Linked DNA regions of Sus scrofa. The protein of the gene in region 1 purifies or fractionates together with the protein of each later gene. This does not show direct contact. Links are inferred from orthologs where the notes say so. Each region holds a gene or a part of one and is shown in the gene's direction. Other genes may lie near its edges.

Evidence for each region.
Region 2: the proteins of HNRNPC (region 1) and SRPK1 fractionate together in Homo sapiens (co-fractionation; 3 studies listed by BioGRID and IntAct, with this or other methods). This does not show direct contact. The link is inferred for Sus scrofa from reciprocal best matches to the Homo sapiens genes HNRNPC and SRPK1.
Region 3: the proteins of HNRNPC (region 1) and DHX9 purify together in Homo sapiens (affinity purification with western blotting; 5 studies listed by BioGRID and IntAct, with this or other methods). This does not show direct contact. The link is inferred for Sus scrofa from reciprocal best matches to the Homo sapiens genes HNRNPC and DHX9.
Region 4: the proteins of HNRNPC (region 1) and CRNKL1 purify together in Homo sapiens (co-immunoprecipitation; 3 studies listed by BioGRID and IntAct, with this or other methods). This does not show direct contact. The link is inferred for Sus scrofa from reciprocal best matches to the Homo sapiens genes HNRNPC and CRNKL1.
Region 5: the proteins of HNRNPC (region 1) and SF3A1 fractionate together in Homo sapiens (co-fractionation; 3 studies listed by BioGRID and IntAct, with this or other methods). This does not show direct contact. The link is inferred for Sus scrofa from reciprocal best matches to the Homo sapiens genes HNRNPC and SF3A1.
Region 6: the proteins of HNRNPC (region 1) and HNRNPR purify together in Homo sapiens (affinity purification with mass spectrometry; 3 studies listed by BioGRID and IntAct, with this or other methods). This does not show direct contact. The link is inferred for Sus scrofa from reciprocal best matches to the Homo sapiens genes HNRNPC and HNRNPR.
Region 7: the proteins of HNRNPC (region 1) and U2AF2 fractionate together in Homo sapiens (co-fractionation; 3 studies listed by BioGRID, with this or other methods). This does not show direct contact. The link is inferred for Sus scrofa from reciprocal best matches to the Homo sapiens genes HNRNPC and U2AF2.

What each region holds. Positions count from the first base shown.
Region 1 is NC_010449.5:77,966,145-77,970,410, forward strand, and holds the end of HNRNPC (heterogeneous nuclear ribonucleoproteins C1/C2), read left to right. Parts: intron 1-1,745; coding exon 1,746-1,906; intron 1,907-2,393; coding exon 2,394-2,507; intron 2,508-2,754; coding exon 2,755-2,915; intron 2,916-3,014; coding exon 3,015-3,098; coding exon of another isoform or gene 3,099-3,116; 3' UTR 3,117-3,766; downstream 3,767-4,266. UniProt on the Homo sapiens protein: Binds pre-mRNA and nucleates the assembly of 40S hnRNP particles. Interacts with poly-U tracts in the 3'-UTR or 5'-UTR of mRNA and modulates the stability and the level of translation of bound mRNA molecules. Single HNRNPC tetramers bind 230-240 nucleotides.
Region 2 is NC_010449.5:31,677,306-31,680,805, reverse strand, and holds part of SRPK1 (SRSF protein kinase 1), read left to right. Parts: intron 1-1,623; coding exon 1,624-1,732; intron 1,733-2,742; coding exon 2,743-2,830; intron 2,831-3,500. UniProt on the Homo sapiens protein: Serine/arginine-rich protein-specific kinase which specifically phosphorylates its substrates at serine residues located in regions rich in arginine/serine dipeptides, known as RS domains and is involved in the phosphorylation of SR splicing factors and the regulation of splicing.
Region 3 is NC_010451.4:124,140,664-124,144,728, forward strand, and holds the start of DHX9 (ATP-dependent RNA helicase A), read left to right. Parts: upstream 1-1,265; 5' UTR 1,266-1,423; intron 1,424-4,065. UniProt on the Homo sapiens protein: Multifunctional ATP-dependent nucleic acid helicase that unwinds DNA and RNA in a 3' to 5' direction and that plays important roles in many processes, such as DNA replication, transcriptional activation, post-transcriptional RNA regulation, mRNA translation and RNA-mediated gene silencing.
Region 4 is NC_010459.5:28,109,072-28,113,272, reverse strand, and holds the start of CRNKL1 (crooked neck-like protein 1), read left to right. Parts: upstream 1-1,401; 5' UTR 1,402-1,816; coding exon 1,817-1,867; intron 1,868-3,490; coding exon 3,491-3,643; intron 3,644-4,201. UniProt on the Homo sapiens protein: Involved in pre-mRNA splicing process. As a component of the minor spliceosome, involved in the splicing of U12-type introns in pre-mRNAs.
Region 5 is NC_010456.5:47,321,949-47,325,448, reverse strand, and holds part of SF3A1 (splicing factor 3A subunit 1), read left to right. Parts: intron 1-952; coding exon 953-1,210; intron 1,211-3,500. UniProt on the Homo sapiens protein: Component of the 17S U2 SnRNP complex of the spliceosome, a large ribonucleoprotein complex that removes introns from transcribed pre-mRNAs.
Region 6 is NC_010448.4:81,218,917-81,222,416, reverse strand, and holds part of HNRNPR (heterogeneous nuclear ribonucleoprotein R), read left to right. Parts: intron 1-3,213; coding exon 3,214-3,390; intron 3,391-3,500. UniProt on the Homo sapiens protein: Component of ribonucleosomes, which are complexes of at least 20 other different heterogeneous nuclear ribonucleoproteins (hnRNP). hnRNP play an important role in processing of precursor mRNA in the nucleus.
Region 7 is NC_010448.4:59,772,793-59,776,989, forward strand, and holds the start of U2AF2 (U2 small nuclear RNA auxiliary factor 2), read left to right. Parts: upstream 1-1,397; coding exon 1,398-1,446; intron 1,447-4,197. UniProt on the Homo sapiens protein: Plays a role in pre-mRNA splicing and 3'-end processing. By recruiting PRPF19 and the PRP19C/Prp19 complex/NTC/Nineteen complex to the RNA polymerase II C-terminal domain (CTD), and thereby pre-mRNA, may couple transcription to splicing.

The sequences.
Region 1 (4,266 bases):
GAGTGCTTTAATAATTTTTATCAGTCATTGATTCTTTGGCACATGGTAAATCATTATTATGCTGCAAGAGGAATGGTGTTGGATGGTCAATGCTTAAAAACTGTTTGAGTGAAGATTAGTAGTAAGTCATTCCCTCACTTCTTTGGCAGTGTTCCTAGCATAGCCACTTATAGGAAAATATTAAAAATATTATCTTGTTAAAGTAGGGTGGAAACATTTTTATATTAAGGTAGGTAAGGTTTTTTTTCCTACTGATAATGTTTTACTTATACTGTCATGGGTTTTTGTAAAATAACAGATTGAAGAGACTTTGTAGAACCGCTCTCCATGTTTTTGGTTGTATTTTGGATTTTCTCTTTATAAATGTTCAGAGTCAATACCAGGCCATCACTTTGGTGTATCTTTTTTTTTCCTCTTGGCCGCACCATGGTATATGGATGTTCCTGAGCCAGGGATCAAATCCAAGCCTCAGCTACGGCAACACTGGATCCTTAACCTTCTGTCCCAGGCTGGGGATGAAACCTGATCTGTCTCAAAGACAATGCCAGATCCTTAACCTGCTGCAACACAGTGGGAACTACACTTGGGTGTATATTTAGCAGTCACTGGGATTACTTGTCCAGGGGAAGCAGCAGTTGAGCAGTCAGTGATTTTTGAGAACTAAATGTGTGCTGGACACACTAGTGAATAGTGAACAAGATAAACAATATTCTCTGTTGAAACTTTGAGTGGAGCTTATGCTGAATGTTAGAATTGATAGTGGTAGTGGTATTTATGCCCAGCTAATACATGAAATGCCTGTTTCTGTAGGCCAAAAATGGTTAATATTGGCCATTTTATTGGTTCAGTGTACTGTTACTAACTAATGGTAGTTACTTGTATGTTTCTGTGGTTAAAAAGATCAGGCAGGGGAGTTCCCGTCATGGCGCAGTGGTTAACGAATCCGACTAAGAACCATGAGGTTGCGGGTTCGGTCCCTGCCCTTGCTCAGTGTGTTAACGATCCGGCGTTGCCGTGAGCTGTGGTGTAGGTTGCAGACGCGGCTCGGATCCCGCTTTGCTGTGGCTCTGGCGTAGGCCAGTAGCTACAGCTCTGATTCGACCCCTAGCCTGGGAATCTCCATATGCCGTGGGAGCTGCCCAAAGAAATAGCAAAAAGACAAAAAAAAAAAAAAAGATCAGGCAGGATTTAGGTAACAAGAGCGCTGTTTGCAGGCTTGGTTGAAAATAATGTTCTTTTGGAGTTCCCACTGTGGCACAGTGGGTTAAGAACTCAACTTCAGTGGCTTGGTTCACTGTGGAGGCACGGGTTCAACTCCCTGGCTTGGTGCAGAGAGATTAAAAGATCTGGCATTGCTACAGCTGTGACATAGGTTGCAGCTGCAGTTTGGATTTGATCCCTGGTCCAGGAACTTCCATATGCTGAGGGTGTGGCCATATTTTAAAGAAAAAAAGTAATGTTCTATTAAAACTGCCATTGTACATAGGAACCTTTTATGTCCAATGCTTAAGGCAACCAACCATATTATTGGATGTGTGTGTGTGTATATGTATTTTCTTGAAGGAAAGTGGCTGCAGTATTAAATATCAAAGAATAAAGAATTTTACTGGCCTTTTGAATTAAATTAGCAAAAAATTATTATTGTAAGGCGGTGGACAATATTTTACTATTTAATAAGGAGACTGTTTGAATCTTCCTGACTCAATTTTAGTGGTGAAGGAATTCTTTTTCTTTTTCTCTAACAGGATGTACAGTTACCCAGCACGTGTTCCTCCTCCTCCTCCTATTGCTCGGGCTGTAGTGCCCTCAAAACGCCAGCGTGTATCAGGAAACACCTCACGAAGGGGCAAAAGTGGCTTCAATTCTAAGAGTGGACAGCGGGGATCATCTTCTAAGTCTGGAAAGTGTATGTATTATTATCGCAGCTTTATGATTCTTATATTTCTTGTGTGTTGAAATAGGGAAATTAATGCAGTTAATAATCAGGTTTTGTACAAATGACTTTGGATAGTCAAAATTATAAAAGGTGACAAATAGTGATTAAAGGGCCAACTCTAAACAACCTAACGCCTTGGTAATTTGAAAAAAAGTCATTAGATTTTAGAGAGTTGAAATACCTATTCAGTGTATGAAATGTGTTAGTAAAACAGAACCGAAAATGCTTTAAAATAGAATTGAGGTCTTTGGCTTGCCTTAATGTTAAGAATGCTGCTGCTAAGGGATAGGCACATTAGATTCAGTTTTCAGCTTCCACCTAAAAGATCAAAGGTCCCTGTTACTAGGACAATTTGGTACAGGCTCCATTTCCCTCCAGGGATCTCATGTTGGTTACTGTTGTATAGTCTAGGTGAAGAGTGTGTTTGAGTCTAATCTAGATTTTATTTGTATTAAAGTAAAAGGAGATGACCTTCAGGCCATTAAGAAGGAGTTGACCCAGATAAAACAAAAAGTGGATTCTCTACTGGAAAGCCTGGAAAAAATCGAAAAGGAACAGAGCAAACAAGGAGGTAAATAATGGTCCTACACTTGTTGGGTGTAAAGTAGGGTTAGTTACCTAAGATAGTTGAAAGTGTATGTTGGAGTAGTGGGATATAAAGCAGTTGATGAATTTGAAACTTGTGGAGTTTGAATTGGGAAGGGCATTTGTGTGGGAGGATTTAGACTTGTGCTGCATCTCTGTGATCATTAGTGGGGATTGTCTACATCCTGTGGACATTACTTGCCCCTAGACAGACTTGTCCTTCTCATCCCCAGTAGAGATGAAGAATGATAAGTCAGAAGAGGAGCAGAGCAGCAGCTCCCAGAAGAAAGATGAGACTAATGTGAAGATGGAGTCTGAGGGGGGTGCAGATGACTCTGCTGAGGAGGGGGACCTACTGGATGATGATGATAATGAAGATCGGGGGGATGACCAGGTGAAAACCACGGGAAAGGAAAGAAAGAGGTGGTGGAGGGGGGATCAGGGACACATGGAGTGCCTCTAACTCCATCCTATTTGTGTCTGTTTCTCACAGCTGGAGTTGATCAAGGATGATGAAAAAGAGGCTGAGGAAGGAGAGGATGACAGAGACAGCGCCAATGGCGAGGATGACTCTTAAGCACATAGTGGGGTTTAGAAATCTTGTCCCATTATTTCTTTACCTAGGCGCTTGTCTAAGATCAAAATTTTCACCAGATCCTCTCCCCTAGTATCTTCAGCACATGCTCACTGTTCTCCCCATCCTTGTCCTTCCCATGTTCATTAATTCATATTGCCCTGCGCCTAGTCCCATTTTCACTTCTTTGACGCTCCTGGTAGTTATGTTAAGTCTTACCCTGTAATTTTTGCTTTTAATTTTGATACCTCTTTATGACTTAACAATAAAAAGGATGTATCGTTTTTATTAACTGTCTCCAAAATAATCTGTTGTTATGCAGGGAGTACAGTTCTTTACATTCATACATGAGTTAGTAGTTGCTTCCCTAACTGCAAAGGCAATCTCATTAGTTGAGTAGCACCTGAGAGCAGCTTTGAGTTAGAGGTATGTGTGTTATACCCCACATAAGAGTGCTGTGTGGGGCTGTTCAACACAAATGTAACAATGTATTTTTGTGAATGAGAGTTGGCATGTCAAATGCATCCTGTAGAAAAATAATTAGTGTAATAGTCTTAAGATTTGTTTTCTAAAGTTGATACTGTGGGTTATTTTTGTGAACAGCCTGATGTTTGGGACCTTTTTTCTCAAAATAAACAAGTCCTTATTAAACCAGGAATTTGGAGAAAAAATAAACACCCTGGTTTTTTATTTTTGTATTTTATAGTTGTTTACTTCAAATTCTTTGTTCCACAGCAGCTTCCACAAAACCCCTAGAATGTACTACTAGATAATGTTTTTCTTTGAGTCATAACTACTCTGCATACCAACATACACAACTCAAATTGTTTTGCTGGGGTGGGAGTTGAATTAAGGAGACAAGTGACTTGTGGAGTGGAGATTGTTTTGCAAATATGGCTTTTAAATACTGATGATAAAGTTTGGGAACTACATTAAGCTGTTTTTGTCGGTGCTTTGTGGTCCAGTTAGCACCCTTTTTGAGATTTTTTTATTGTGTGCTAAATTGTTCCATTTCTAAATAGAAGAGGCTCAAACATGTCAAGATTTTAGGAAAAGGTGAAACAACTGGAGAATGAAAGCTGTATTTTCTTCAATTTTAGTTCTTTTGATTGCTATTTATAGCCCTAGTTACCATGTGGATTCTGAGTCTATGCCTCAGTGTTACTGAAAA
Region 2 (3,500 bases), about 46 Mb from region 1:
GTTGGGTTCTTAACCCCCTGAGCCACAACAGGAACTCAGGCATAAACAGGGGGGTTTTTTTTTTTTTGTTTGGTTGATTGGGGTTTTTTTTGTTTTTCTGTTATTGTTTTTGCATTTTTAGGGCTGCACCCATAGCGTATGGAGGTTCCTAGGCTAGGTGTCAAATCAGAGGTACAGCTGCTGGCCTGCACAACAGCCACAGCAACACAGGATCTGGACCTTGTCTGCAACCTACACCACAGCTTATGGCAACACTGGATCCTTAACCCACTGAGCGAGGCCAGGGATGGAACCTGCAACCTCATGGTTCCTAGTTGGATTCGTTTCCACTGTGCCACAGCAGGAATTCCCAGCATAAACAGTTTTAATGCTTTTCTCTAAGTACAGGAATTAGTATTCCCTTTTAGTAATTAAAACTTTGTTTTATATTAAATCTGTTTCTATTCCTTTTCTCCTTAAATATGGTAGTGCATATTTACCTTAGAAATTTCAAAAATGTATTCAACAAAAAGAAAATAAAGGCTATCTGTAGTGCTGTCATCCAGAAGTAACCAGCGATAAGATTGGATATACAGACTTGGAAAACACTTGCTTTTTCATTATTTTTTTCTTAAAGTGTTGATTGCTAACATATGTTAACTGGAATTAACAGATACTTAAACTGTTTTAGAAGATTACCTGATATGTTTCCTTATGAAACTTTCCAGTATTCTTGGGTAGCTCTTAAAACAGAGTGTATATTACCATCGAGGAGAACCTGGTTGTTCTTAGCAGCAGAGATGTTAAAATCCCTTGATTCCTGCCACTGTTGGCAGCCTCTTTAGGCCTTCCTGGTTTTTTTCTGTTGTATTATGTGTTTTAGAAAAGCAGTTCCTTTTTTTATTTTAAGTTAAGTAAATAGAACTCATTAATTTCTCTCCTAAAATATATCCCGAGGGAGTTCCCTGGTGGTCTTGTGGTTAGGGCTCTGTTTTCACCTCTGTGGCCTGGGTTCAATCCCTGGTCTGGGAACTGAGATCCCACATCAAGTTGCAGCATGCTGCAGCCAAAAAATTTTTTTTTTAATTCTGAGACTACAACCGTAAATGGATTTTATAGTTTAGATAAATCTGTTGAATTATTGAGGGGCAAGAATGGTGTGATACATAACCTTACTCTTGTTTGGGGCTGACTTTATTTTTTTAGGTAACTAAAGCATCACTTGCTCACTCTTATTAATCATTACTCTTATTCTCTAAGATACTTTTTTGTAGCATGAGCTCAACACTAGTGTGTGGCTGACTTAAAATTGTCCTTTGTTGAATTGACTGTATTAGAAGAAACCAATTTGGGAGTTCCTATTGTGGCTCAGAATCTGACATAGTGTCAGTGAGGATGCAGGTTCCATCCTTGCCCTCTATCAGTGGGTTAAGGATCTGGTGTGGCTATGGCTGTGGCATAGGCACAATTTCGTAGGCCTTAGCTGCAGCTCCTATTCAGCCCCTAGCCTAGAAACTTCCATATGCCCAGGTGTGGCCCCCCCAAAAAAATGTATTTGATAAAAGGTGTATTGATGTTGAAAAATGGGTTGTAAGATATCCTTTCTTACGTAAAGTGACTGTTTTCTTCCTGTTGTTCTTCCAGGAGGCTACCATCTTGTGAAAATCGGAGATCTATTCAATGGGAGATATCATGTGATCCGAAAATTGGGCTGGGGACACTTTTCAACAGTATGGTTATCATGGGATATTCAGTAAGTTTTAATGGTCCTGCAAGTGAATTAGGTCGTTTTTAAATGTTTTGCCTGGTTTTCCACCTTCAGGCTAACTCTAGACTAATTTCTTAATCAGAATCTTAACTGTTGATAATCTTTATGTTCTTGGCCAAATGACTTCACTCTGAAGCACCTTAGAGAAACAAGATTGATTAAATTAGTATCAGTAAGGTGCTTGAAGCTCCCAAATTCGAAGTATGGGATGTAACCTTTCAGTTTTTCTCACAGGAAGGAGTAGAGTAAAATTTTTTTATTGTGTCCTTTAGTTTCACCTATGTGAAATTATTTTTGTGTGTGTGGTTTCTTTTGCTGACAGATTTGCTCAGCCATACAATCTAAAACCTCTCTATGTAAAAACCGCAGGCAGTTAACATTGGGTGTTTACCTAAAAGTATCTTTGATGAGACAGCAATTGCTGTCTGTGCACTTAGGTTATAAACAGTTTTTCACCCATGTATTCTGGCTTCTTAGAGGAAAGTGTTAATAGCATTTAACCTTTTCTTTTTTTGTTTTGTTTGTTCTCTTTTTTAATCATTTATATATATATATTTTTTTCTACTGTACAGCATGGTGACCCAGTTACATATACATGTATGCATTCTTTTTTCTTACATTAAGTGTTCCATCATAACCTTTTCCCTTTACCCTGGATACTTTTAGTTTGATGGAGTTTTCCCTTTTATCTCTATTTCATGGTTTTACTTTGATTCACAGAGACATTCGGAGGGGTAGATTTTAACTTAGAGAAAATGTTTGGTGTCTGACATTATCCTAGAACAGATTTTTTTTCTTTTTGTAAGTTAAATTTGGCCAGTTAGTGCCGCTAACAGATATAGACAGCCCCATTGAAGTAGAAGTTTGTATCTGAGCACAGGACAAAATGAAATCAACATTTGTAGTTTTGTCACCATTTCCCAGTTACAGTTAAATCTTAGCTTCCTAAGTAGGGGTAGGACATTTAGTCTTAATTGCCTGTGTTTGTTTCTTAGGGGGAAGAAATTTGTGGCAATGAAAGTCGTTAAAAGTGCTGAACATTATACTGAAACAGCACTCGATGAAATCCGGTTGCTAAAATCCGTAAGTATTTGATTATGAGCTGCAAAGTTTTATTAAAAAAGCATTGTCTTTTCAGTTGAGACACACCAAGTGTATACTCTTGCATGGCTGGTATTTACTGTAAAGCTCCAATATCCTTAAAAGAAGACAGTATTTGTTTTAAAATGTAGTAAAAATATGTAAGATAAAAATAAGCACTGTATTCTCTTTAGTATCTGGAGACTTTGGTAAAATGTATCAAAAACTTATTTTCGATTTTGTTATAAATTAGGAAATGTCAGTGTAGCGAAAGGAGCTTAAACTCAAAGTTAGAAAACATGAGTTTTAGGACCATCACTCTCCCAGTATGTCCTCATCATTACTCATTTCTTCTGAGCCTTGGATTTTTCATTTATTAAGTGAGGCTGTTGAACCAGGAGAGGTCCTGGGAAGTACTTTTCAGAGTGCTAGTCTGTGACAAAATAAGGAGCTCAGGCCCAAAAGTAAATCAGTGAACTGCTTCCTTCCCTGAGAAAGTTTTTCTGTGAAAAAAATGAAGGCTGAATAAACAATGTGGTTAGTTGCTTTAGTTGACTTGCATCCTACAAAAGGAATTATTTCTTTTTTTTTTTTTTTTTTTTTTTTTCTTTTTGTCTTTTGTTGTTGTTGTTGTTGCTATTTCTTGGGCCGTTCCCGCGGCATTTGGAGGTTC
Region 3 (4,065 bases), on another chromosome or scaffold:
AATGTTAAGGGAGATCTTAGAAGGTACTAGTTGCCAAGGACAACCTACAAAGGTAAATGCCATTGCTGGCATCCAATCCCCTGGCAACTCAAGGTCCCAGATGCAAGGCCTAAATTAATAAACAACTCAGTAATAAAATTCTCTGTAATCTTTGGGAGCCAAAGATCGACCTCAGAAAATATTCTTTATACTTAATTTGTTGATGTTTTTGGTGTGTACATTATCTACTACAAAACATTTGCAATCCATTTATGTTAGTTGGGTTTCCCTTATCATGAAAACTTCCTGATTTAAGCATCCTGAGAGAGATAAGGAAACAAAGGATTAAGGTATTTCCCTGATGATTTTATTCCTAGTTGAAGAGAGCAAACATGGAGAAAATAAGTTAATGAGTAAATACGTTCCTCTGTTTAACTTAAATGTTTTAATCTGTGTTACTCTGGTTGTAGAAGAAACAGAGTTTTAAAGGGATTAATCACAGTGAGCTAGAAGAGTTAGGGGAAAAAAAGGGAAGAGGTGAAAAATAAGGATGTTAGGTACGATGGGGCCTGATACTTTACTGGTCTGGCTTCTCTGGAACAACCCCAGCTTGAAATATTTTGTATTGTTGCCTCCGTGAGAAGCACTGGAGTTCAAAAATTTAGCAGTGACTACTATAATAGTTAAGGATATAAATTACTCCGAAGACTATGAATACAAAAGGTTATCCAATTTGAGCAAAAAGAACTTTACAGTTTCTATTTATTAAACTAGTTATTACTGAGCACTTGATGTGCCAAGTACTTCATTTAGCGGCCTGAGCTGGCCAGGCAGGGTTCCCGCCTTCACCGAGCTTACTTCTATTTAGGGGATGTTAACCTTCGAGGAGCCGAATCACTACAATACCTACTGAACAACTATTGTGTGCTGGGTACTGCCCTAAGCCGCCTTCGCAAGCCATCTCATTTATTTTATTCTATTTTTTAAGCCATCTCATTTAATCACCAACAACCCTATAAAGCTACCACCTAGGATTTCCAGTTGTGTCTTTGTGGGGCACCTCATCTACCACAGGTCCCTATGACAGAAGGTGCAAAACATTCTCCAAAAACATGCGGCAGGCCCCTCCTGAGGAGGCCTCGCGCCAAAGGAGGAAGCTCCGCCCCGGCGCCGCTCTAGGGCGCGGCGGATCTCCCAGGCGACTGGACGCTGCCCGTCGCGTGGTTGCGGCAGCTCCGCCCCTCTTCCGGGCGCCCTTGGCCCCACGCTCCCCTTCTGCGCATGCGTAGCACACTGACTCCGCCTCCACAGCGTAGCGGTCGGAGCCATTTCGCCGCCGCCTCGGTGCGAGTGGTGGTGCGCTCGTCTGGTCTCCGTCGCTAAGGCCCGAGCCAGGGACGTTCCTGAGAGAGCTGTGCTCTCGGGCACAAAGAATCGGACTCCGGTAAGGGGAAGACGTCTTTGTTACCGGTTGGGACGGCGTAGGCCCCGGGGTTCTGCAGCGGGTCTTTGTTGCCTGGAGCTGGCGGCGGTGGCGGGTGGGGGAGGGGAGAGCCGCCTCGCTGGGTTCCCGGATTGCGGGTTGCGTGCTGCTTGCGACGCCGCTCCGCGCTTGCGCTGCCTGAGGCCGCCATTTGGCCCCCAGTTATTCGCGGAGGCAGGCCTAGTTTCGTCTCCGGAGCGGCCAAACCCCACTTCCTCTTCCAGCCTGCGCTTGGCGGTGGCGCTGTCGCCGTAGAGTGAAAGGGACTGAATCGGCCCGGGGTGGGGGGAGCTAAGCCCGCCAAACCGCCGCCCACGCTTAGGGCCCTTCGTTCGTCCACGCAGGCCTGCGTGCCGAAAATAGCGGGTGGTACCCTGCGGCCTCTGCGGATAGAGCAGAAAACAGGCTAGGCACAGTCCTTGCTCTTTTCTCTCAGAGGTTGGGGTCGTGGTGGGGGTGGGGAGCCGTGTGGAAACAAGTGCTGGTTTCGGTAAAAAAGCTCTTGGAGGATTTAGTGTAAAGGAAGGGCGCCATTTCCGGAAGGGTGGCGCGAGGGAAGGCTTTTCGGAGGAGGCAGACATTTGAGCCGACGTCTCGCCCAAAGGGTGGAGATTATCGACTACTAAGATGTGGAAGAAAAGCAGAACTCCCCAGGCGGAGGGGGATTAGTTAGTGTTTACTGGCAGGGATTAGAAAGAAACTGAAAGAAGGCCACGTGACTGGAATGTGGTGAGAAGAATTTAAAAGAAGATTGGATTTTAGCGTGGTTACAAAGGAAATGGGAATTATTTAGGACCTTGTTGCTGAACTCCAGCTGTTGCAGTAGTGGGAGAGGGGAGGGAAGCGAACAGATTGGAATCATGTTTGGAGGCGAAAGTGAGCCTTAGGTCAAGAGTAGATCAGGACTACCTGGGTTGGAATTTTGGGTCCCCCAATTAGAAGCTCTGTCTGTTGAGGCAAATTATTCTTTCTCTCAGTTTACTTACCTGTAATAATGCTTAGCTATACAGTGTCGTGTATGGGTTAAGTGAAGTAGTTGCTGCAATGCTCCTTAACGGATACTGATTGGTACATAATAAAGACTGCAACGGATGGTTATGGAGGATGTTGAGGGACTGGATAAGTCCCAAATGGGTGATAGGAGTAATTTGGTGGATGGTTGTGCCGCCTAAGGAGGTGGGAACACTGGGATTAGAGGGAAGAGGAACAGGTTTAGGGAGGAAATTTAAAATTGTGTTTTAACTGTGATGCCATGTTAGCATTCAGGTGGATACATAAGTGCTGCAGATGGATGAACTTGATTTTGGAGCTTTTAAAGAGAAAAGACTAAACTTTCAATGTATATTTGGATAGCATTAGTCTATAGTTAATATTTAATATGATGGCGTTAGATAAGACTAGGGAGGAAGGAATTTGATAGTATAGTCCTTATTTCATGTTTTCCATTCACCCTGAGGGCTTGTTTTTAAAATTAATTATTCATGGTTGGAATTTGTAGGTAGACATCTTCAGTTTTCCACAACTTTTCATGAATCGGTTATCCCCAGGGTTAACCTGTGACTACAGAAGAGCCTTTTTGTACTAGGGTTCAGTTTGATGAAACTAGATGTAGGTGCTAACAAAATGCACTAAACATTAACGGAAGACAGAGGCTTAATGGGGTTTCTTCCCACATCACAGCAAACAATTCTTAGCATATTTTCTCCAGTTCTGAATTTGGTCTCAGATCCCTCTGCGTGTAATTTAGACTCAGGATCCGTATCTTTTGCTATAAACTGATGTAGAGGGAGAATGCCAATCACTATGATAGGTTGCACTTAAGGAAAATGTAATAGCCTCAAATTTAATGAGTAACAAGGCCTAAAGGAAAGATTTAGCACAGAATATATTTGGACTTAATAACATTGCCTATTGCTGTGCAGATGGTCTTCTAGGAGACATAATCCAAATGAGGATAAACTCTTGGATTTATATACAAAATGATGGAAGGCTGTTTCTCCATTTATTTATTTATTTAGGCTGCCATGAGGTATCTGGAGTTCCCAGGCCAGGGATCATATCCGTGCCCTAGTTTTGACCTAGGGCACAGCTGCGGCAGTGCCTACAGTGCCGGATTCTTAATCCACCCACGGTGCTGGGCCAGGGATTGAACCTGTGATCCCAGTGACCACAGCAGGAACTTTTTTTTTTTTTTAATTAAGTTTTAAAGGAGTATAGTTGATTTACAATTTGATAATTTCTGCTGTACGACAGAATGATTCAGTGATGCATGAAAAAAAATGCACCCATTCTTTTTCAGATGACTATTTCTTAATATATTGGTTTGGTTTTGAATTTAGGCCTTCTACAGTGAGTAACTTGAAAAAGTTACTGAAACTTTCTATGTCTAGTGTCTTGCTCGTAAAAAAACTGTAAAGTAGAAGCTATAGTTTATAGTGTTACCTACTGTTGTGAGGATTAAATTAGTTAAAACACATAAAGCGAATATTGTAAAAAGTAGGACATTACATAAAATGTCTTTAAAGAAAAGACGAAAATCGCTTGTAGATATCTAAAGATAACCATTTGGGAGGATATTTCTTTTCCAGTCTTGATTTATACAT
Region 4 (4,201 bases), on another chromosome or scaffold:
GCTTTTAAAAAACAGCTGAATTGAATCCACATACAATTAAATGGAAGGATGGCAATCAGAAAGAAAACATTCTAGGTGTTTGTGTCTTTGAGAGGCTGCTATAGATGATTAAACTTTGTCAAATCAATTGTGTATAGTTACAATCTGAAGAGAACTCAAGGGAAATATCTTTTTATTTTAATAGCTATTTCTTTCCTTAGGTGACTTCTATCACAGTTATATAAAATCTCAATTTATTTAAAATTTGAAAAGTGAGAAAACGTTCAATATTTAAATAATAATAAGATGTACAGAAACTATGGCAAACGTTTTTATATTGGTTACAGGTGACTTCAGTCTGGGAAATCAGCATAAAATTTCTTCTGCAAAGGTGGATGTGATCTGCATACATAAATACATAAATATATTTTCCAAACACCAAAAGAGGCTTTCAACTGTCAATCTTTTAAACAATGAGCTATCAAGCCATGACAAGACAGGGAGGAATCTAAAATGAATATTACCAAGTGAAAGAAACCAACCTGAAAAGACTACACACTATATAATTCTAATGATATGACAGTCTACAAAAGACTGCCATTGAAAAAAAATTAGTGGTTACAGGAAACAAAATGGGAAGGAGGGATGCATAGGCGGAGCACGGAAGATTTTTAGGGCAGTGAAAATGTTCTTTACCATTCCATAATGGTGGACAGATGGCACTGTATTATTTGTCAAATCCCACAGAATGCACAACATGACGAGTAAACCCTATGTAAACTATGAAGGTTGGTTGATGAAGATATGTCAACATAGGTTCCCTACGCTGGTGGTGGATATTGATAGTGCAGTGGCTGGAGTCCAGGGCAGGAGAAATAGGAATTTTCTGTACTTTGCATTCAATGTTCCTGTGAAACTAAGCCTGCTCTTAAAAAATAAATTCTATTTTTAAAAATTCTCTTAATCATTGGCACACACATATTAATTTTTGTTTCTGAAAGCAGTTCAAGAAATATTCCGACTAAAATTTACTGAGCACATTACTTATATTTTTCTTTTTAATCCTGGTGAAATAGATATTATCTGCGTCTTATAGTTAGGGACATCGGGGCTAAGAGAATTGATGAAATTAAGGCACAAAGAAAATTTAAATATGTTTATCTGACCACAAGATTGGCATATTTGCTATTACTCTGACGATTTATTTTCACTCTATTTCTATTATCTGGCTTTTAAAAACCTTCAGTTACTTTAAATTACAAGCCTTAAAGTTAAGTATTTAGTCACAACTAGCCAGAAACCAAGAGAGAGTAAATCTCAAAGACTACAAAGCCTAAAATGCACAGCGGCGTCGGGCCGCCTAGGAGCCTAGCAGCTCGCCGCTCGGCATGCCGGGAATAGCAGTTTTTCTGGCCAGCCTCTTTTTCCACGCCCTCGAGCGTATTGACCGGAGCCGGGTTCCTATCCCCTTGCCTGGCAACAGGGCTCCATAGATCCACCCATCCTCGGACGGGCATCCCAGTCCCGGAGACGACCTGTGGATGAGCGACCGGCGCCCTGCACTTTCCCCACGTCCCTACCGGGAGCCAGCACTATCCAACTCACCTGCAACTCCAGCCGCCGTGCTCCGCCCACGGCTCCTAGGAGGACGCGCAGACCGTTACCACAGAAACGACGTTGCCTCCGTCACGGCGCCGTCGGGAGGTCAAACGTCCCCCAGCCACTTCCGCTTCCGGTTCCGGGATCCCGATTGTTTTCGGAAATCCCTGAAGTGTAGGCGAGCGTTCCCGGTTGGTTTGTGGGGTCCCGGGCTTGCCCGAGGTCTGACGCTGCAGCCATGGCGGCCTCCACCGCGGCCGGGAAGCAGAGGATCCCGAAAGTGGCCAAGGTAGGCGGCGGCGCGAGCCTTGAGGGAGGAGGCCCGGGAAGGGGGTTGGCCTGGCCTCCGCGGTTCCCGGGGCGGGAGGCGTGTGGTCCAGGGAGCCGGCCAGCCCCATGTGGGGCCGCGGGAGAGCTGGAGGGGAAGGGTCAGCGGATGGGGGGCGCACCCGCGTTTGCGTGGCCATCGTCTCGGAAGGCATTTTTGCGGTGGGAGGACTGGGGTCGTTCCACACAGACCAGCTGAGCCAGGTAGCGCGCTAGGCGCTGGGGAGCTCCAACGAGGGCGAGCAAGGAGCAGCTTTCAAATAAGATACAAGTGTAAAGTATCTTTACAAGTATACAACCTTGAATGCTGCTCAGGCCACGTGGAACATGCCGTGGCAAACTGGGCTTGTGTGAGGGGTCTCAGAGTAGACTGCTGAGAAGTGATACCTAAACCGACCCTTGAGGCGGAGTAGAAGTTGGCCAGCTGAGAGTGGATGGAATGAGAGTAGATGACAAGACCTGCGAGTTAGCATAATTTAAGAAGAAATCTGATTTTTCCTTCGGTGGCTAATACTTAGTGAGTGCTTAATATGTAAGAGGCTTTGTCCTAAGCCTTTACAGATACTCTCCCTCCAGTCTGTTTCTCCAGCCCAGGTGTCTTTCTTGAGCCTTTATCCACTTAGATGATGATTCTTTGAGATACCGCATATAAAGTGCATAGCACAGCATCTGGCACTTAATGTTCATTAGGTATGAGCTATCATTTTATTATAATCATCACTCTTCGCATGACACTGAACAATTATCAATTCAATTCCACAAACTTTTATTGGGCTCCCTGAGTTCAATATAATGTGAGCCCCATAGGTAATTTTTAAGTTTTCTCATAGCTACATTAAAAAGTGAAAACAGGTGACATTCATTCCCCCCACTAAATTTTTTAAATTTAACTAGTTGCAGGTGACATTAATTTTAATTATATATTTTATTTAACCAATCCAAGATATTGTCATTCCAACATGTAATGAATATAAAAAATTTAATTAGGTAGTTTATCCTTTTTTTCATACTAAATCTTCGAAATCCCATTATATTTTACCACTAGAAGCCATCCCATTTTGAACTCAACAAATGTGATTATGGCTACTGTGTTGGATCTAGGACTCTTATAGCCTAATAATGAGAACTTACTGAGTAAGTCTTTGGCTTGAAGTGCCATGAAAAATCAGTTGTAATTATCCACCTGGGACATTATCCTCTACCTGGGGCTTAAGTTGAAGAATTCTGTAAATAGAGGTTGAAATGCTAAATATAGCACACATCTTGATAAAACCTTTGGTGAGAATTTTATCTAGGCAGCCTCAGAGTTTACTATTATATTAATCTGAAAGGGAAAACTTGGTGCTTTTTTTTTTTTTGCTACCTTATATCTTGAGAGCTTTATCTGTGGTTTTGTGATAGATACTATGCATAAGATAGAAAACAGTATTTTTTAACTTAATTTTATGGAGAAATGGGAGCATGTCATGCAAAGGAGGGCATCTTGTAATAATGTTTATAAAGTTCACATCCTAAGAAATGTGTATTTGTTTCTTAAACCTTGTGTGAAGAGGTCTACTAAAAATAGAAATGTCTCGTCTTAAAGGTGAAAAACAAAGCCCCAGCTGAGGTACAGATAACTGCAGAACAACTGCTAAGAGAAGCTAAGGAAAGAGAACTTGAGCTTCTTCCACCTCCCCCTCAACAGAAGATCACAGATGAAGAGGAGTTAAATGATTACAAACTAAGGAAGAGGAAGGTGAGTCAATGTGATGTCTTTCAGTCTGTTGATATTGTTAAGAACAGGTCAGAAGTGGAAAAGTTCCTCACTGGTTAAGAGAGACTATAAGATAAGGTTAGTGTTTGTAGCCACATGAATAGCATGACTTCTGGTTACCAGGTGATTGCATTTTGCCTCGTTGTGCGTGTTAAGTGTAAAGAAATTAGATCCACCAGAGACAGATTTTTTTTAGTAGATCAAAGATGGGTGGAAGTTTAACAGGCACAACAACTGACAGCTGGAGGAGGGGTGAGCCTAGGGAGATTCTGTTCTCTTCTTCTGTCTGTACTGCCTTCTGTGTTAAGAAGTGAAACCTAGGAAAAAGCCCTAGGAAGACATGAGGATCTGAATTGACCTCTTCACCCTAGAATGTGGTTTGGTTTTTTTTTGGTCTTTTTGCTTTTTTTAGGGCTGCACCTGCAGTATATGGAGGTTCCCAGGCTAGGTGTGTAACCGCAGCTGAAGCCGCCGGCCTACTCCACAGCCACAGCAACACCAGATCCAAGCCGCATTTGCGACCTATACCACAGTTCATGG
Region 5 (3,500 bases), on another chromosome or scaffold:
CATCTTTCCAGGACCTCTCTGTCTGGCCTGCCTTAATAACCCCTTAGCGCTAGGAAAGATTAGGGCTGTCAGTGAGGAAAGGAAGAGCCCATACATTTTGCCACCTGTGTGGACCTGGAGGCACAATGTGTCCTTTCTCTTTGCTGCATTATCGAATCATGGCAAGGGCTGCCCCTTGTTTTACAGTGAAGAGGTTGAAGTAGGTTCGGAGACTTTGTGTTGCAATTTACTACTCCTTGGGCCTCAGATGACCTCAGTTTCCTCACCTATAAATAGAATTTATGGGAGTCCCATTGTGGTGCAGTGAAAACAAATCCAACTAGTATCCATTAGGATGCGGGTTTGATCCCTGCTTCACTCAGTGGATCGGAGATCTGTGGTTGCCATGAGCTGTGGTGTCGGTCCCAGATGCTGCTCAGATCTGATGTTGCTGTGGCTGTGATGTAGGCCAGCAGCTGCAGCTCTGATTTGACCCCTATTCTGGGAATCGCCATATGACATGGGTGTGCCCCTAAAAAGCGGGAGGGAAAGAAAAGAATTTACGGTACTTGTCATGTCTACCTTGTGGTTCGTGTGGAGGCCAGATGAGGTAACAAATGTGGAAGTCTTCTGATTGGTAGGGTCTTCTGCATCCTCCATCCCTGTTGGGTGGGATGTAATAAGCTGTGTTCCTATTGATCTTCTGCCACCCAGTTTTGGTCCTCAGTTTCAGGGCACATCAGAGGTACAGAGGGGCAGGGTCCTCATTCAAAAAGCCATTCAGAGAATTGAGGCTACAGTTGGCCAAGAAATTGGTGCTGTTTTGAGTTAGGTTTTTCTCATACCATGTGCCAGTGGTATGAGTGTAATTAGCAGAAGCATAGAGGACTGCCATCCTGCCAGGGTGTGTTCCCACCCCCTCCACAGTAGTCTACTCCTGTGCCTCTTTTCTCACGTTCTTATTGGATCTTAGGTCCAAGCCCAGGTGATCCAAGAAACCATCGTGCCCAAAGAACCCCCTCCCGAATTCGAGTTCATCGCAGACCCTCCCTCCATCTCAGCGTTCGACCTGGACGTGGTGAAGCTGACGGCTCAGTTTGTGGCCAGAAATGGGCGCCAGTTTCTGACCCAACTGATGCAGAAAGAGCAGCGCAACTATCAGTTTGACTTCCTTCGTCCCCAACACAGCCTTTTTAACTACTTCACGAAGCTGGTGGAACAGTATACCAAGGTGCCTGGGTGTGGTGGGATTGGGTGCTGGGCCCAGGGAGGGAAGGCGCCCTACCACTAGCATGCAGTCTTCTCACTCTCTGCAAGGGTGGGGCTCCAGGCAGATGTGTAAAATCTCAGTTCAGTATGAAATATTGATTTCTATTCAGTTTTCCTACTAAATGCAACACAACTGCTATTTCTAAAGAGAAAGGAAATGAATGAGTGGTAACTGCCATTAGGTGAGTGCCTGCTGTGTGACAGGGCCAAGTAGTGCTGGCCGCTTTTAAATACTTTTAAATTTTCAGTTGTCCTGAACAGATCCTGAGAAGGAGGGCCTTAATAATTGCTTCCTGTTAGTACCTAATTTAATCCTCACAAGAACCCATAAGGTTAGTGGTTTCCTTCCGATTTCAAAAATAGAGACAATCTGAGAGAGGTGAAGTTCTTACTTGTGGTCTCTCAGCTAGTAAGTAGTTGCACTGAGATTTAACCAACATTTGACTCTAAAACTTAGGCAGTTTTTCACCTTAGGTAGTACCTTGAGTAAGAAATATCATTTCCCTTTTTTTTTTTTTTAATTTTTTTTTTTTATTTTAAGGGCTGCACCTGCAGCATATGGAAGTTCCCAGGCTAGGGGTTAAAAAGGAGCTGCAGCTGCTAGCCTGTGCTACAGCGACAGCAATACCAGATCCAAGCTGTGTCTGCAACCTACACCACAGCTCATGGCAATGATGGATCCTTAACCCAGTGAGCAAGGCCAGGGATGAGACCCGCGTCCTCATGGATACTAGGGTTTGTTACTACTGAGCTGAAATGGGAACTCCCTAGAAGTGTCATTTAAATAGGCATTGGGAAACTATTTAACAAAGGCTTTTTTGGTTGGTTGGTTGGTTGGTTGGGGATTTTTTTTTTTTTTTCCTGTCTTTTGTCCTTTCAGGGCCGCACCTGCAGCATATGGAGGTTCCCAGGCTAGGGGTCTAATCGAAACTGTTGCTGCCGGCCTATGCCACACCCATGGCAACGTCAGCTCCAAGCCGCATCTGTGACCTACACCTCAGCTCTTAGCAACGCCAAATCCTTAACCCACTGAGCGAGGCCAGGGATCAAAACCACAACCTCATGGTTCCTAGTCAGATTCGTTACTGCTGCGCCATGACAGGAACTCCAACAAAGTTAAGTATAGCCGCTCTTAAGTACTTATGTATGTAGTATTTTCTCATTTAATCCCTGGTAACCTGTAAGGTAGCCAATGTTATTTTATATTCATTTTATGAAAGAGGAAACCAAGGCACAGAGAAGTTAACTGGGCCAGGGTCACAAAGCTCTAGGCAGTTTGCAGAGCCAAGGACTTGAGCTCTGGCATTTTTATTCTGGACCCTGGCATCTTAATTTTTATGATACATTGTTGTAATGAAGAATCCAGACAAGTCAATACTGGTATTTAAAATAGATCACGGAGTTCCCGTCGTGGCGCAGTGGTTAACGAATCCGACTAGGAACCATGAGGTTGTGGGTTCGATCCCTGCCCTTGCTCAGTGGGTTAACGATCCGGCGTTGCCGTGAGCTGTGGTGTAGATTGCAGACGCGGCTCGGATCCTGTGTTGCTGTCCTCTGGCGTAGGCTGGTGGCTACAGCTCCGATTCAACCCCTAGCCTGGGAACCTCCATATGCCGCAGGAGCGGCCCAAGAAATAGCAACAACAACAACAACAAAAAGACAAAAGACAAAAAATAAATAAATAAATAAATAAATAAATAAAATAGATCACTAATTTATAGCGAAGTACACTGGTACAGATTTGCCTGTGGCATGTTTTTCTTTTTCTTTTTTTTTTTTTTTTTTTTTGTCTTTTTTTAGCTATTTCTTGGGCCACTCCCGAGGCATATGGAGGTTCTCAGGCTAGGGGTCGAATTGGAGCCGTAGCCACCGGCCTACGCCAGAGCCACAGCAACGTGGGATCCGACCCGCGTCTGCAACCTATACCACAGCTCACGGCAACGCCAGATCGTCAACCCACTGAGCAAGGGCAGGGACCAAACCCGCAACCTCATGGTTCCTAGTCGGATTCGTTAACCACTGCACCACGACAGGAACTCTGGCATGTTTTTCTTGCTACACACGTAGTGGAGGTTGTCTTCCCTTTTTAGTGGCATGATCTGCCATATCTGTTTTTGATATCTAGATACAATATGTTAAAGATATGACTTCAAAGGTTATTTAATGAATTCCTCTAACTTCATTTATTCTAGGTATATAACTAGGAAGAATTATAAAAATGTTTGTGTTTAGAAAATGACCAAGTCCAAAGG
Region 6 (3,500 bases), on another chromosome or scaffold:
ATGTTGCTGTGGCGTAGGCCAGCAGCTACAGTTCTGATTTGACCCCTAGCCTGGGAACCTCCATATGCCACGAGTGCGGCCCTAAAAAGACCAAAAAAAAAAAAAGATCTGACACTTAGCTTCCTCACTTGGCTGTGTTCAACTGTATTTTTATAGTGCCACTACACGTGCTTTCTTTGCTTTTACATATATTCATAATAGGTAGGAGAAAATGTGGATGTAAACGATGTAATTTTGAAGCACCACTGTATTATGTTGATAGAAATAATATAAAGCAGAATTTACTTCCCAGAACAGTTTTAAAATATTCAGATACAAATACTGTCAAGTGCAAAAAAATATTCTAACCAGGCTAGGCCTGGGTGTGGCCAGAGAGCCTGGCCACACTAAAAACTGTATTTCAAAATTAATTGCAGTTGCTCTTGTGTATTTTTTATCTCAGAATACCACTTTTTCTTTTTAGGGCCGCACCTGTGGCATGTGGAAGTTCCTAGGCCAGTGGACTAATCAGAGCTGTTGCTGAGGCCTACACCACAGACACAGCAACACCAGATCCCAGGTGCATCTGCGGTAACACTGGATTGTTAACCCACTGAGGCCAGGAATGGAACCAGCATCCTCATGAATACTCGTCAGGTTCTCACCCACTGAGCCACAGTAGTAACTCTCAGGATACATTTGATCAGTAACTTTTTTTTTTTTTTTTTTTTGGTCTTTTTAGGGCTGCACCTGAGGCATATGGAAGTTCCCAGGCTAGGGGTCAAAATCAGAGCTGTAGCTGCCAGCCTGAGACACAGCCACAGCAACACCAGATCCAAGCCACGTCTACAACCCACAATGCGGTTCACAGCAACGCTCGATACCTAACCCACTGAGCAAGGCCAGGGATTGAACCTGTGTCCTCCTGGATGCTAGTTGGGTTTGTTACTGCTGCCATAATGGGAACTTCCTCAATAACTTTTTTTGTTGTTGCTTTTTAGGGCTGCACTTGTGGCATATGGAAGTTCCCAGGCTAGGGGTCGAATCATTGCTGCAGTTGCCGGCCTACACCACAACCATACCAACTCAGGATCCAAGCCGCATCTGTGACCTACCCCACAGCTCACAGCAATGCTGGATCCCTGACCCACTGAACAGGCCATGGATCATACCCGCATCGTCATGGGTACTAGTCAAATTCATTTCCATTACCACAATGGGAACTCCAGTAACTTTTTTTTTTTTTTTTTTTAAGTTCCGTGCCCTGTTAATGAATGCTGGTTTATAGGTTTGATAATGTTACAGGGTGATACAGCTTAAGTGAGTGAGGAGTGGTCAAATTCTGGATTGTTTGAAGGCATATCTAATAGGATTTATTGATGAGTTGGATACAGAGATTTGAAAGAAAGAAGCCAAGGATGACTTCAAGACCTGTGACCTGAACAGCTGGCAGGATGGAGTTGCTATTTGTGGAAGTGAAGGAGGTGGTAGAAAAGAGCAGATTAGTAGGATTGAAAGATAGATGTCTCTTAGACATCCATATGGAACTGTTGAGTGAGCAAGTGGTTATATGAGTCTGGAGTTGATAGGAGAGTTCTCACTGGAGATTATAAATGTGGGAGGCATAAGCATCTAGATGGTATTTAAAAACTATGAGTTTAGGTGTAGTCACCATCTGATTCCTGCAGCCCTTCAACATTTAGAATTTGGGGAGACAGAGAAACTAGTACAGGGGATTGAGAAGAGCCAGTGAGGTAGGAAAAATCAGGAGTTTGGTCTCAGAAGTCAAGAAAGTTTTTAGAGAAGGAAGGATGATCAGTTATATCAGACTTCCCAAGTATGATGAGGACTAAGAATAGACATTTGATTATGGCAACATGGATGTCATTAGTGACTGATTGGAATGGTTCTAAAAGCCAGATTTGGAGAAGATTCAAAAGACTGGAGATGAGGAATTTGAGGCAGCAAGTATATGTAGCTCATTTGAGTAATTTTGCTACAAATGGTAGCAGAAAAATGGGACAATAGCTGGGAAGGGTTGTGTTGTAGTCAAGATATGTTTTTTTTTTTTTTTTTTTTTTTTTTTTATTTTTTTTTTGTTTGTCTTTTTGTTGTTGTTGTTGTTGCTATTTCTTGGTTCTTGGGCCGCTCCCGCGGCATATGGAGGTTCCCAGGCTAGGGGTCGAATCGGAGCTGTAGCCACTGGCCTACGCCAGAGCCACAGCAACGCGGGATCCGAGCCGCGTCTGCGACCTACACCACAGCTCACGGCAACGCCGGATCGTTAACCCACTGAGCAAGGGCAGGGACCGAACCCGCAACCTCATGGTTCCTAGTCGGATTCGTTAACCACTGCGCCACGACGGGAACTCCTGTTTTTGTTTTAATTAAAATTTTAAGGGAGTAATTACACTTAATGTGCTGATGGGAATGATCCATGTATAAAGGGGGAAATTTGATAAAATTGTTGCTGGACTAAGTGTCCTTGAGCATGAAAGAAGGGATGGGATCTAGTGCATCAGTTACAGTTAAGAGGTAGATGTTCATCCATGTATTAATTCAAAGATGAGCAGCTGTTGTGTTCCTGGTATTTCACTGCTTGAAATAAAATGGGGAAAAAGAGGTAAGCTCTCTGCTCACATAGAAATTGAACCCTTTTGGAGTTGCCGTTGTGACTCAGCAGTAATGAGCCCAACTAGTGTCCGTGAAGATGAGGGTTCAATCCCTGGCCTTGTTCAGTGGGTTAAATATCTGGCGTTGCTGTAAGTTGTGGTGTAGGTCACAGATGTGGCTTGGATCCTGCATTGCTGTGGTGTAGGCTGGCACCTACAACTCAAATTTGACCCCTAGTCTGGAAACTTCATGTGACAAGAGGTGCAGCCCCAAAAAGCCCAAAAAAAAGGGCATATTTCCATGAAGATTTATACATGTCTTTCATTCCTTTTTTTTTTTTTTTTTTTTTAGGAAAAAGAGGCGTAATTCAGAATTTAGAGTTGGTACAAATTTTGCACACTTTTATTAATCAGTTTCCATTTTTCAGCATAGAATATTGGTTTGTGTTGATGCCACAAGGGTCATGATAAAGGCTAGGATTTACTTTGGAGGATTCAAATTGTCCCCATTTCTCCTTAATGAGATCTTTGTATCCCCACTCCCTAAAAAAGGGAGCTGAGCTTTATGGCTCTGAAATCAAATGCTTACATTGGGATTCTAACACAGAGGCTTTAATTTCAGGTCTTTGTAGGTAAAATACCAAGAGATTTATATGAGGATGAATTGGTGCCCCTTTTTGAAAAGGCTGGTCCCATTTGGGACCTTCGTCTTATGATGGATCCACTGTCTGGTCAGAACAGAGGGTATGCATTTATCACCTTCTGTGGAAAGGAAGCTGCCCAGGAAGCTGTTAAACTGGTATGTGATAAATGTCCACTTTCCAGCAAATCATTATTTGAGAGAAATAACCTCAATTAAAAATGTTTGCAGTTAACATTATTTCATTTTTTTTAGTCTTTGCTTTGATG
Region 7 (4,197 bases), on another chromosome or scaffold:
CGGGAAGGAGGCATGAGCCGACTTGGACCAGAGGCAAGGCGGCAGAAGGCGGGACTCAATGACTTTTGGGAGAGGCGACCATCGAGGGGAGCGGGGAGCTCTGAACAGAGACTGCCTCCAGGAGGCGGTAAAGCGAGATTCTCTGTCTCCCGGAAGTGCCCGCTGCGTGGCTAGCAGCGTCGGCGCGGTTGGGGGGGGGAACGCTCGCTTGTGTGGTTGCCACGGCAACCGCAAGGGGGCGGCCTTGCTCAACGGTCGGGAATGTAGTCCCTTCCCTGGAGGAAGGAAATCTCGCGCACGCGCGCTCGGGCTGTGGCCCCGACGACCCGCCCCCCCTCTCCGAACAGTGAGAGGTCTCGGTTCAGACCGATCTCTACGCAGGCGCAGAGGCTCTCTCGCGCTCGCCCCTTCCACTTTGCGCATGCGCACAAAGCCGCGCTGGCAACCTCCGCAGCAGCCGCGCGCACTCTTCACTCCGCTGGCTGCTTTTGTCTCGCGAAACCTTCTTAGGCGCTTCTCAACATCGGTCCTTCTTTTCCTCCCATCGCCCCACAGGGAGAGCCGGGTGCTGAGAGCCGAGACCCTGCCTCTTCTTTTCCTTTCCCCTGACCCACCTCGCCTCTGTCCTCCCTCCCTTTTTGGTTCCCGGAGCCGGAAGGAGCCGAAGCGCCCACGGAAAAAGCCGAAGGTGTCTGCTGTGAGTCCTTCCCCAGGCGGTGGCGGAAGGAGCCGAAGTTCTCCGAAAGGGGGAGGAGGTTGCTCTTGGAATCTCCGGAAAGAGCCGAAGTTTGGAAACGGGTTTAATCTCTGGTTGGGCCCGAGGGGGAGCGCCAGAGACCTTCGGAAAGTGCCGAAATCCGGGACGGTTAGGATTGTCGGAAGTGGCCGATTGCTTGGACAGGGCCGTTGGGAAAGAGAGGGTAGAATCCGTGGAAGCAGCCAAAGACGGACGGTTTGAGTTCTTGGAAGAAGCTGAATTCTAAGTGGGGAGTCTGGGTGCTAGGAATGCGAGGACCTACGGAAACATCCGAACGTTGAAGAGCTACTATCCGAAAAGTTACGAAAACCTGAGAAGCCTGCGAAACCCTCGCTTCGGGTGTTTTCGGAAGCAGCCGAAGTCGCCTCTCCCTTCGCTCCTCCACGGTCCGGAAATAGCCGACGCGTTTCGGAGCCAGGCCCTGGGGGGAGGTGCGCCTCGTGGGCGGGCCGGCGGGGAGAGGGGCGGAGCCGGGGCGGGGCTGGGCGGGCGGCAGGGGCTTGATTAGGTAGGAGGCGGTGGAACGCCGGCGGCGGCCGGAAGTAGCCGAAGCAAGCGGCGGAAGTAGCCGAAGCGGCCGGATCGGGCGCGCGGCAAGGCGAGGCGAGAGCTACACAGGGCCCTACGCGGCCGCCTCAGCATGTCGGACTTCGACGAGTTCGAGCGGCAGCTCAACGAGAATAAGCAAGGTGAGGGCGCCGGGGGTGCGGGGCGGCGGGCGGGGCGGCTCTCGGCTTCCCCCTGTGTCCCCCGCCATTTTCCCCCTCGCTTCCCCCCCTTAGGCCCGCACGGCGCCCCCCCACCCCGCGGTGCGCGCCTTACTCACGTGACCGCCCGGCGTGCCGCCGCGCGGGAGGGGAGGGGGCGGCGGGCGCATGCGCGCCGCGTTCGGTTCCGCGCCCCACGTGGCCCCCGGCGCGGGTGGCGCGGGCGCCGCAGGCTGTCGGGAGTCCGTTGCGGACTTATTTTCTATTTTTTTAATTTGGAAAGGAGATTATGTAGATTGGGTCCCGCAACCCCTCCTTTTCTCCCGATGCCCTCGCACTTCCGCTTCCGGCCGGGCCCGCGGCCGGTGTCTCCACGCCCCCTTTGTTCCAAAATGGCGGTTGGAGCCCCCCTTCACGTGGGCGCATGCAGGGCCGCGGTGTGGGCCCTTCTCGCACCGCCGCCCTTCGCGCCTTTCCTGGGGGCTAGTCGCCGGGGTCCCTTCCAGCCTAACGTGGGTGATGCGGTGTCTCCTGGGAGAGGTCCGCACTGTGCGTTTTCAGTGTTCCTCCCGCACGCGGTTCTCCCTCGCGCCGTCGCGCCAGGCACAGTGTGGCGTGTCTGCCCCCCATATCTCCTCAGTTAGACAGGTCCCCTGTTCTGTACGAGCCCACCCTCCGGGCGCCGCGTGTGTCCGCCTTTTCAACGTGGCGATAAAGAGACAGGCTCGGAGCGAGTAGGGAGACTTAGCTCAGTTGGGAGGATGGGAGGCAAAGTCCCTCCGGTGATGCGGAGTCCAAGTAGGAGGCCGAGCTAGTGCCGACTAGTTTGGACACCCCACGAATGTTAGAACAAACTTAGGCCTGGAGGAGGTGGCGAGCGCGAGGCCTAAGCTCCTTGTGGTCAGAGGACTGCACAGGGGGCGGGGGGCGCTGGGGTTCCCCTTTCAGCCCAGTCTGCAGTTGGGAGCAGGTGGCTGGTTTAGGAGGAGACAGCGCCTGGGGAAGACGAAGTCGGGTTTCGGAGTGCCCACGGGGTGTCTGTACACGTTGTAACGCTTCACAGCACAGGCTTTGGAGGGGAGGAGACTTGGCTTCTAGTACCTGCTTTGTTGCTAAGTAGTTGTGGAACTTTAACACGTCTATGCTTTTTTTTTTTTTTTTTAATCCTTTTCTTGTGTGTAGTGGCTGTTAAATAGGTATGTGTCTTTATTACCGGTTTCTGGAGTCAATGGTGATGGCAGTACTGATAGTGCTTTGCTAAGCTTTTACACGGCTTATTTAAGTAGATGGTCAACAGCCGTGGGGGACTGACATGACTTCCTTTCCTTTGCAGAGGAGGAAGCAGGCTCAGAAAGCTTGAAAAACTTTCTTTGGTTTTAGCTGGTGAGAGTTGCAGCTGAGGTTAAGTGAGGTAATGTGTGTACAGTGTGTGGCATACGGTCTGGCATTCGTTAAGTGCCTAACGAGGAGTATTGTGAAATGATCCCTAGTGAAATTTCTTAGGAAGGTAATGGAGAGGCTGCCCTGAGCTGCCTCAGAGGTGGTGTCAGAGTTGGGACAGCAGGGAGAGGTGCTTTCCCAGCGTCATTATCCCATGTCCCACACTTGGGGCGGGATGAGCGTCGTTTAAAAGACCGGGAACACTGAGGTTGGAAGGTACGGTTGCTGTTTTGTGGTTTTATGCAGTTGGTAGACAGAAGAGCTGAAGCTGATCCTGAGTCTGGCTGCAAAACCACGTGCCCCTAGGCTGGACTGCTAGATGGAACTGAATGAACCTTCCTTGGGGCACTTGCACACGTGCTGCTTGGTTTCTCTTGGGTGTCCCCACTGGTACTGGCACGTCCCTTGGGCTGGTGGAGTTGTTCCCACAACAAAGTGATCACAGCGTTTTGAGTAACCACAGCTGCCTTTCCTTCCTGACCTGTTTGGGTTGAGGCAGGGAACCTACTGTTGCTTTAAGGGGAAGCTTTGCCCTAGTATCGTTGTGCCTGTGGGTCTTTGTCTCTGTGGTCCAAGCCTCCTCCAAGCCTCAGTCCCTGCCTTGTGCACCTGTGTCTCCAGGGAATTAATTTCCTTGTCTGTGTCTCAGGCACCCAGCAGGCGCCACTTCTTCCTCTGTGTCTGTTCCTCTCTGCCTGCTTGTCTGTTTCAGAACCAAAGCCACAAAAGACGCTGTTTTTATAGTTGGCCCATCTTTCAAGAGTGGAGCCAGAGGCCCAGAGCCTCAGGCCAGCACACCTCTGGGCCCTCAGTGTCATGCTTACCTGCTACTTCATGCTACTTGCCTCCTGGTTCCAGGCTTGGATTTGTTTTTCGTGTTCAGTCTGTGTCTTCAAGGAGGTAACCGCTTGTCTTTAGGGGCTCCCGCCAGACCCTGGAGTGTTCTGGCTGCCCCATGTTGAGTATTGCCTAGTGCTTAACTGCACTTGTGGGCATTTCAGTGTTCACAACTTCCTTGCTTTTTGGCCAGGGGCAAGTCACATGACCTCCCTGAGCCTCAGTTTTCCCATCTGTCAGGTGAGCCTCTAGCAGTGTCTCCCCAAGGTAACAAGATTAAGTTCAAGTAGAGCTAGCACAGGATCTAGTCTTAGGTACCATTGCAGTGTTGGCTGGAATTTTTTTTTCTGTTTTCCAAGGTGCGTGTTTTTCTGTCTTTTAGTGGTTCTGGAGTTTGAGTTCACTTGTGAAAAGTTTTATGTTTAATTGCATCAGAAAAACATGTGAGGCAAAAGC